Linked DNA regions of Macaca mulatta. The protein of the gene in region 2 binds, or shares a complex with, the protein of the main gene of each other region. Links are inferred from orthologs where the notes say so. Each region holds a gene or a part of one and is shown on either strand. Other genes may lie near its edges. The genes, in order: TRADD and NGFR.

What was found.
Region 1: the proteins of NGFR (region 2) and TRADD are in contact, whole or in part, in an NMR structure (PDB 7CSQ), measured with the Homo sapiens proteins. The link is inferred for Macaca mulatta from reciprocal best matches to the Homo sapiens genes NGFR and TRADD. Residues at the interface, in NP_002498.1 of Homo sapiens: Glu345, Glu346, Glu348, Lys349, Leu350, Asn352, Gly353, Ser354, Ala355, Glu379, Ala380, Cys381, Arg384, Glu420; in NP_001310481.1 of Homo sapiens: Thr201, Phe202, Asn211, Ala275, Glu276, Arg278, Arg279, Thr281, Gln283, Arg284, Glu287.

Annotation. Positions count from the first base shown.
Region 1 is NC_133425.1:62,699,157-62,703,059, forward strand, and holds the start of TRADD (tumor necrosis factor receptor type 1-associated DEATH domain protein), read right to left. Parts: upstream 2,823-3,903; 5' UTR 818-2,822; coding exon 496-817; intron 1-495. UniProt on the Homo sapiens protein: Adapter molecule for TNFRSF1A/TNFR1 that specifically associates with the cytoplasmic domain of activated TNFRSF1A/TNFR1 mediating its interaction with FADD.
Region 2 is NC_133421.1:60,502,591-60,506,393, forward strand, and holds part of NGFR (tumor necrosis factor receptor superfamily member 16), read right to left. Parts: intron 2,304-3,803; coding exon 1,944-2,303; intron 1-1,943. UniProt on the Homo sapiens protein: Low affinity receptor which can bind to NGF, BDNF, NTF3, and NTF4. Forms a heterodimeric receptor with SORCS2 that binds the precursor forms of NGF, BDNF and NTF3 with high affinity, and has much lower affinity for mature NGF and BDNF.

The DNA.
Region 1 (3,903 bases), on a different chromosome or scaffold from region 2:
GGTCTCAGGTGTTCGGCCTCCACCAAGCGCGGCTCCCACTGCTCGGGAAGAAGAGCGGCGGCTGTCGCTGCTCTGAGGCCACGAACAGATCCCCCAACCCGCTTCAGCCTCCTGTGGCCTCTGCCCTGAGATGGGAAAGGGGGGCCTGGAAGGGTAGGTACTGGGGAGGGGTCTTGAGCAAGGAGTGCTGGAGTAAGAGAGGAAAAGAGGAGAGAGACATCCACAATTAGTAGAAAGGAGTGAGCCAGCTGGTGGAGGGGGGCGGCGAGGGAGCAAGAGATGTTAGTGCACAAATAGGTAAATCATACACAGACGAGGACACACGTCTACCGTCAAGGTCATGCCACAAGCAGAGAAGAGAGCCTGCACAGCCAGGGGTCCTCTGTCTTGCTCCTCCCACCCTAAATCTTCTCCTTAAAGGTGGCTAAGCCCAGGCCCACCCACAAAATGCCCCAGGCCACCCCTTCCTCTCCACATGCCCGCCCACCCACGCACCTGCCAAGGCAGCCTGCAGAGCCCTGTACACTGCCACCTTCTGCTGGGGGTGCGCGTAGGCATCCGACAGGACCACCTTGTCCAGCGAGGATTCCACAAACAGGTATGCGCTGCCCACCCACTCTTCGTGCCCATTTTGCCCAGCTGCCATCTCACCTCCTGGAGATGCAGACAGTCGGGTATCCAGTTCATCCCCCCTCCCTCTGCCCTGGAGACAACCGTCCAGCCCCACGTGGTTCAGCGTCTCCACAGTAACCTCAAGTCCCACATGGTTCAGTTGTCCCCACCACTGGTTGGCATACTTGGGACAGGAGTTCACCATCTCACAGGAAGCCCCTTGAGCTCCTGGCCCTATACTGAGTCCCACCCACCCCACGCTTGCAGTGAGGACTGTCCCTCCACTGCCTTCTCAGCGAAAGAGCCCAGGGTCACAGTGGAGGGGAGCAGAGGCAGATTCTGCAGTGGGGCTTCTCTGCCTCCTCCTCAGGCCTGTGTGTCTCTCTAACCACCATGGACCAGAGACATCTTCATGCTGGATGGTGCTCATGCCCCAAAGCCAACAAGACCCATATGCTCCTGGCCTTGCCTTCTGAGTAGACTTGAGCCCAGCATCTCTGGAGGACCTCAGCCTAAGACTAAACCTCCTGTCTTCACTTTGAAGGACACCTGCAGTTTGCATCTACCCAGATTCCCTCCTGAAAGCCTGACTTACCTTAGGGACTTCCCTCCTCCCTCTTCTCAATCCATGTGCCTGTGTCCCACTCCCTAGTTTCAGGTCGGGCTTGTGCACCAGACCTGGCTAATCTGCACATTCCATTCACATTTCTGCAGTGATTAGTTCAGAGCAGGGTGTAGGACTTAAGTTGGACCCATGAGAATCAACCCTGCAACTCTGGTTGAGCCAATAGGAAAGAGGCACTCCTTTCCCTTCCCTTGGGACTGAACTGGAAGGAAGAGGTAGCTCTCCTTTAATACTGCTTGGGAAGAGTCTGGCTGGGAATGAAGCTGACACAGAAAGAAATAGTCAAGAGATGGAGCAGTGCATTCCCAACCATACTACGCCCCTGGATCCAGCTGTTCCTGAAGCCACTGCACCCTGGACTTTTCAGTTATGTGAGCTAAATAATCCTTTTTTGTTGTAAAGCCCTTGGAGTTCGGCTCTGGTCATTTCCAACACAAATTGTTCTATTCCTTCCCTGTCCAGAAAAAGCCAGGGCCCCTTGGTGCTAGCATAGTATCTCCTTCCTCCATCTTCTGACAAAAACCTAGCCCTGGACCAGCTGAGGCAAAATTCCCAGCCAGGGAACCACTGCACTGACCCACAGCTCAGTGGTCTCCCAGTTACTACCCCATGAGACAGCAAGTAAGAAACTGCCCTCCCTCTTTCTCCCCACCTTACCCTTTTCCTAGAATCATGGGATCAAGGCCCTACCTCCTGCCCCATCAGTCACACTCCTGCACTCTCCAGTCATCAGGGTTTATATATGGTGGGCTAGGAGGAGTGTTGAGTGTTAGCTATGGGGCAGGACAGATGGGGTGGCCCCAGCTGCCATCTGTTTACATGAGGAACAGGAAGCTATCCTGTCCTGGCCTCGCAACGTGCTGGAATTACAGGAGTAAGCCACTACTCTCGACCTTTGTTTTCTAAATTTTCTTGTTTTTGAGACAGGGTCTTGCTCTGTCACCCAGGCTGGAGTGCAGTGGCACTATCACGGCTCACTGCAGCCTTGACCTTCCCGGCTCAAGCAATCCTCTCACCTCAGCCTTTCAAGTAGCTAGGACTTTAGGCATGCGCCACCAAGCCTGGCTAGTTTTTGTATTTTTAGTAGAGATGGAGTTTCACCATGTTGCCCAGGCTGGTCTCAAACTCCTGGGCTCAAGCGATCTGCCCACCTCAGCCTCCCAAAGTGCTGGGATCACAGGTGTGAGGCACCACACCTGGCCTCCTAATCTTTTCATAGAAAACATTAATACTGTGTACTTACACCAAACCACAGTCTGGATAGTAACAGGAAATTTGCATTTTGTTTATCTCTGGGCAGGATGGAGGGAGGGAGGTGGGGGTGGGGAAGGATTGTGGGTGATTTTTATTTTCTTTGTATTTAGCAATATTTTCTGCTTTATGTGAAGTAGAGACATTTTCTTTGTATTAAAAGAGCAAAATAAATTTGTTTTCTTTAAAAGCAAAACAAGAAAAAGTGGGAAACTCTGCAGGTGACAAGTGGGTCCATGATAGGGAGCCAGCCACGGAGGTGAGATAAGGGGGAGTCCTAGGAAAGTGGCCTGGGGAGTAGGAGAGAGTGAGAACCTCCCCTGGAAACGTTCCCTCTTTCACGTCTTCCTAGCCCCTTGACTTGGGAGTGCTGACCCGATGGTTGTGGCCCCACCCCAAGGGGTGGAAGTGGGGACCAAACGGGACCAATGTCTGCCCATCAGGTCTGCAGGGGAGGGTGGGGAGGCAGGGAGTACTGGGAACCTGGAGACTGGGGATGCTTCCTCACACTCACTAGTACCAGACCCATGGGGGAGGTAAGCCAGGCTGGAGGTCGAGTTAACAGGGTAAAGAGGCCAGGGCCCTAGTTTCGCATCCGCCGATTGGCAGCTCTTCTAACGTGTTCTTTCACAGAAGCCCCTCCTTGGGAAGCCCCGCGCCCCACCCACCCGTAGTCGTCCCTTTTTGGGAGGGGCTGAGGCTTCCAGGCTGGGTCCTGAGAACGTTTGGTGGCCGGAGACTGTGGGGCACTTGGGTACCGACCTAACAACGTCTGCCGCCATTTCCAGGGGCGAGCCACGCACGGTGCCCCTTGAACACTTAACAGTCCCGGGGGCAGCCCCACCTCTGGCTGGGTGGACAGGGACAGCCTGTGGGCGTGGCCCAGAAATGAAAGCCTGCGACTCCTTGCGACCCGCCGGGCACACCCCCTACTCAGCTACGCAGCTCCCGAGCGCTGGAGGGGAGCTTCCCAGGCTCCCACTAGCCCACCCTCAAGCTGGGGTTTCGCACGTGCGATCGGCTGGGGTGGACAGGGGGGTCTCCGCTCAAGGAGGTGTTCAGAACCACCCCTCCTCCCCCACCCTCTCTCCTGCGGGGCCCTACTGCTCCTCGAAAGCGCTGGCAGGGACGAAGAGCCTGCGGGGGCCAAATTCAGTACCGCCCCCCGCCTCCCACGGGAACAGCCCAATAGGCCGCCGCCACCAGCTGGCTGGAGCAGCCGCTGGTGACATCTGCGCCGCGCCCACGCTTCGGAGCCAAGATCCACCTCCGCTCCCGCCCGCACTGGGGAGCCCACCCACACACCCACCCACCAACTGCACTAACCTGGCCGCCTCGGCTGGGCCTGGGTTCCCACGCCCGCCAGGCTCCGCTCTACTCGCGCCGCTTCCGGGTGTGCGCGGAGGCGCTGGGGC
Region 2 (3,803 bases):
CCCTAAGGGTGGGTGAGTCACCATGTTGACACCTGAAACTTATATGCAGGGGGGAAAGTATGGTAAGCTGGAGGGGAGGGGGCACCCAAACCAAGAATCAAATTCCATTTCCTGAAATGGTCCCTCGTTCCAGAGCTGACATTTAACCCTTCAGAGCCTGAAGCTGAAAGGGGAACAAGGTCCAGGATGAACACATTCCCTCAGGAGCACCCTCCTCCTTTGGGGTGGCTGGGAAAGTGGGCTGGGATCTGAGAGGAATCTGTGAATGCCCCAAACCACAAAGCCTGCTCCTCCCGCAGCCACCACCTTTCTTTGCTCTGCAGCGCCCCTAAGTCCCCCCAACCCCGCCCGCAGCTGGCTGGTCTGGACTTGTCCACAGAAATGTGCTGCCCGCTTCCCTGACGCCTGGCTGCTGAAACCCTCCCTGCGCTCTGCCTGGTGCCTGATGCCACTTGCCTGTCTCCTGGCCCAGGGCAATTGCCACCAGAACTACCACATCCTACTCCTACTCCTCATTCCTTCTCCAAGGCAGGCAGCTTTGAGTTCAACCTGGCCTTAGCCCAACAGCCCTCCCCATCCTGAGCTCCTAAAGCCAAAGATCACAGGACTTGGAAGGCAGGTGTGGGATGTTGGAGCCCCTATCAGACTGGAGGGTCCCCAGGGGCAGGAGATCAGGTGCTGACTGAGGCAGAAGCTCTGCTGCCTCCATCAGAATGGGGGATTTCTAAAGTGAGGGCTGTCTCTCCTTCAGCTGGGGACTAAGTGCTGGGACCACGTCTCTCTCATTAGACTGGGCGAAGGCTATCTCTCCCATCGAACTGGGGGCTCACTGAAGGAGGTGCTGTATTGCCTGCTCAGGGTAAAAGCAACCTGAGGATGAAGGTTAGGTCTTAAAGGGAAATAGCTCAATGTGTGCATGGCCACAGGAGGATAAGCAGGATGTAAAGGCGCTGCCAGCCTCTCCCTGAAGTGGAAAAGCCCACCCGTCTCCCGAGACGGACGTCACCAACCAGAGACCAAAACAGCTCTGCCCTGGCTCCCATGGGGCTTCCTCCTCCCATCCCTGGAATCACCCCATCTCCTTTGGGCCTGTGCCTAGCTAAGGGCACACTCAGCTCCCATTCACCCCTGGAACTGACAGCCACGAGCATGCACTCCCTTGTCCCCGGGCTTTTGAGCCCCAGGTCTGCCCCCCCTTCTTCCACAGAGCCCCTCCTTGGTGTTCCCTGCACGCCCCTCATCCTTCACTAAACTGCAAAACACGGTTGACCCCTCCCCTAGACAGGGCAAGCTGAAGTGGGCCAGCCCCACTGTGCTCCCTAACCTGCAACAACCCTGGCAACCATATGACCAGTGAGGAAACTGTGGCCCAGAGACAGGAGTGGACTCCCTAATGTCAGATAAGGACAGGGTGGGTTCCATCTCAGGTCCCAGAGCCAAAACCCACCATGGACCTAGACCAGGGCTCAGAGTCAAAGGGTCCCAGCTCCTGAGGGTCCTCCAGCTGTTCTTCCAGTTCAGAAAGCCTGCCTCATGGATCAGACCCCTCGTGTTCTGTGCTGTGCCCTGGGGGTAGTGGCCACCTTCGAGCTGCTTGCTGTTCATCTAATCACTAGCGGGCAGTCACAGAGAAATGAGTCCCCGAGGATGAGTTACATGTAGTACCCGCGGCCTGGGACAATGAGAACCCCCCACTTTCCAAACACTTAGCCAAAAGAAGGAAACAGTGAGAGGGGTTCTCTGGTGAGACAGGATCGGGAACGACGTCCTCCCTCAGGTTACCAGGAAGGGACTGAAGCTCAGGGAAGGTGCACGCTGCCTTAAGGTCACAAAGCTGCCCCAGCAGGCCAGGCGGGGTCTTTGTCGACCTCCAGAGGGAGCCCTTCCTTATGCCCCCAGCCCACCCCCGCACCCCCTACTGCCGGCTCCCTAACAGCGCTCACCCTCGCACTCGGCGTCGGCCCAGCGTGTGCACTCGCGCAGCTGGCGCTCGGTGTCCTCGCACACGGTGCAGGGCAGGCACGGGTCCACGTGGTTGGCCTCATCTGAATACGTGCCGTCGGGGCACTCCTCGCACACGGTGTTCTGCTTGTCCTGGCACGAGAATACGAGGCCCGAGCCCGCCTCGCACACGCGGCACGCCTCGCAGCGCCCGGTCGTCTCGTCCTGGTAGTAGCCGTAGGCACAGCGGCACACGGCGTCGTCGGCCTCCACGCACGGCGCCGACATGCTCTGAAGCCCCACGCACTCAGTGCACGGCTTGCACGGCTCCGTCGCGCTCACCACGTCGGAGAACGTCACACCTGAGCGCAGCGGACACCAGATTTAGTCGTCTGCTCTTTGGGCACCCGGGACGCAGGAGCCTGGAGTCTCTCCCTCACCCACTGCCTGCCAGGACGCTGACTTCCTCCTTCAGCTTCGCCTTCTCATCGACTCCCACCCTCTTCCAGGGGACTTTGACCCCTAGCCTGGTGAAAGTTGGTGGCAGCCAATTGGGTAAGGGGAAGGAGGCCCGGAGCCGCTTCCTTCAGCCTCCAGAAGCACTGGCCGGCCAGGAGGGTTTCCCGGATAACCCAGCTGGTGCCAGTAAGTTTCTTGGCAAATTCTCTTTGAGACTTCCCAGGCCTGTAGGGTGTTCCAGCATGATTAACGAATAATCTGAACGTGGTTCCCACCCAGCCCTCCCCGCGGGCCAAAACTGGGCTGCTAACCCAGTCCAGGCAAGGTAGGCCTTCCCCTAGGGAGCCTCCTGCCTCATCTGCCTTCAGTTCCTCTTCACACAGGTGTGGGCTCAGATGCACCCTGAATGAGAGTGACCGGGGTTAGACAGCAGAATTTCCCACCCGTGGCGCTACCCCCACGCTGCTGAAGGGCTTGGCTCCTGAGGGTGGGGACGGACCAGCAGGCAAGAGGGTTCAGGTAAGGCAGGAGCCACTGAAGCTAGAGAGCTGGCTCTTAGCCCACACTGAGTCTCTCAGATGGATATTGTTGAGCAGTACACAAGCTGCACAACTGTATATGATCACCCCTTTGAGATCTGCACATGCGTCCTCTGCCCTTTCAGCCAGCATGCAAGGGAAATGTCCAAGCTCATTCTTCACTCATGTTTTCTTAATTAGTGGATGTGCACTCCAGAATAAGGAGAAGGAGGCCAGACATGCCAGGGTCCTTGCCTCCTTGTACAGGGAGGGGAAGGAGCAGGGCCAGATCTTCTTCACCCCTTCCAGCCTTGGGTGGAGAACTCTGTGCCAACCTGGATCTGGCAGAACCTATCCTTGCTCCAAGGACAGAAAGAACATAGATTTAGGAACCTGAGAACTAGGGAAGGACAGATTGTTCAGAATGTGGAAGCAGAAGCAGAAAGGCTAAAGCACCATTGGGGTAAACTGAGGCCTGTTGGGGGGTGGGGTCTTAACATTATTCAAAGGTGTCAGAGACAAGATGGAGCAAGGGGTCACTGGCTTGGGGGCTGTGGTGGGGGGATAGGGAGGCAAAGAAGGAAAAGCCAGAGAGAAGTGAAAGGGGCAGAATTGCGGACAGAGCCTGGGCGTGGTGGCTCACTCCTGTAATCCCAGTACTTTGGGAGGCCAAGGCAGGCAGATCACTTGAGGCCAGGAGTTCAAGACCAGCCTGGCCAACATGGCAAAACCCCATCTCTACAAAAACTACAAAAATTAGCTGGGTGTGGTGGTGCACACCTGTAATCCCAGCTACTCGGGAAGCTGAGGTGGGAGGATTGCTTGAGCTTGGGAGGCAGAGGTTACAGTGAGCCAAGATTGCACTAGTGCACTCTAGCCTGGGTG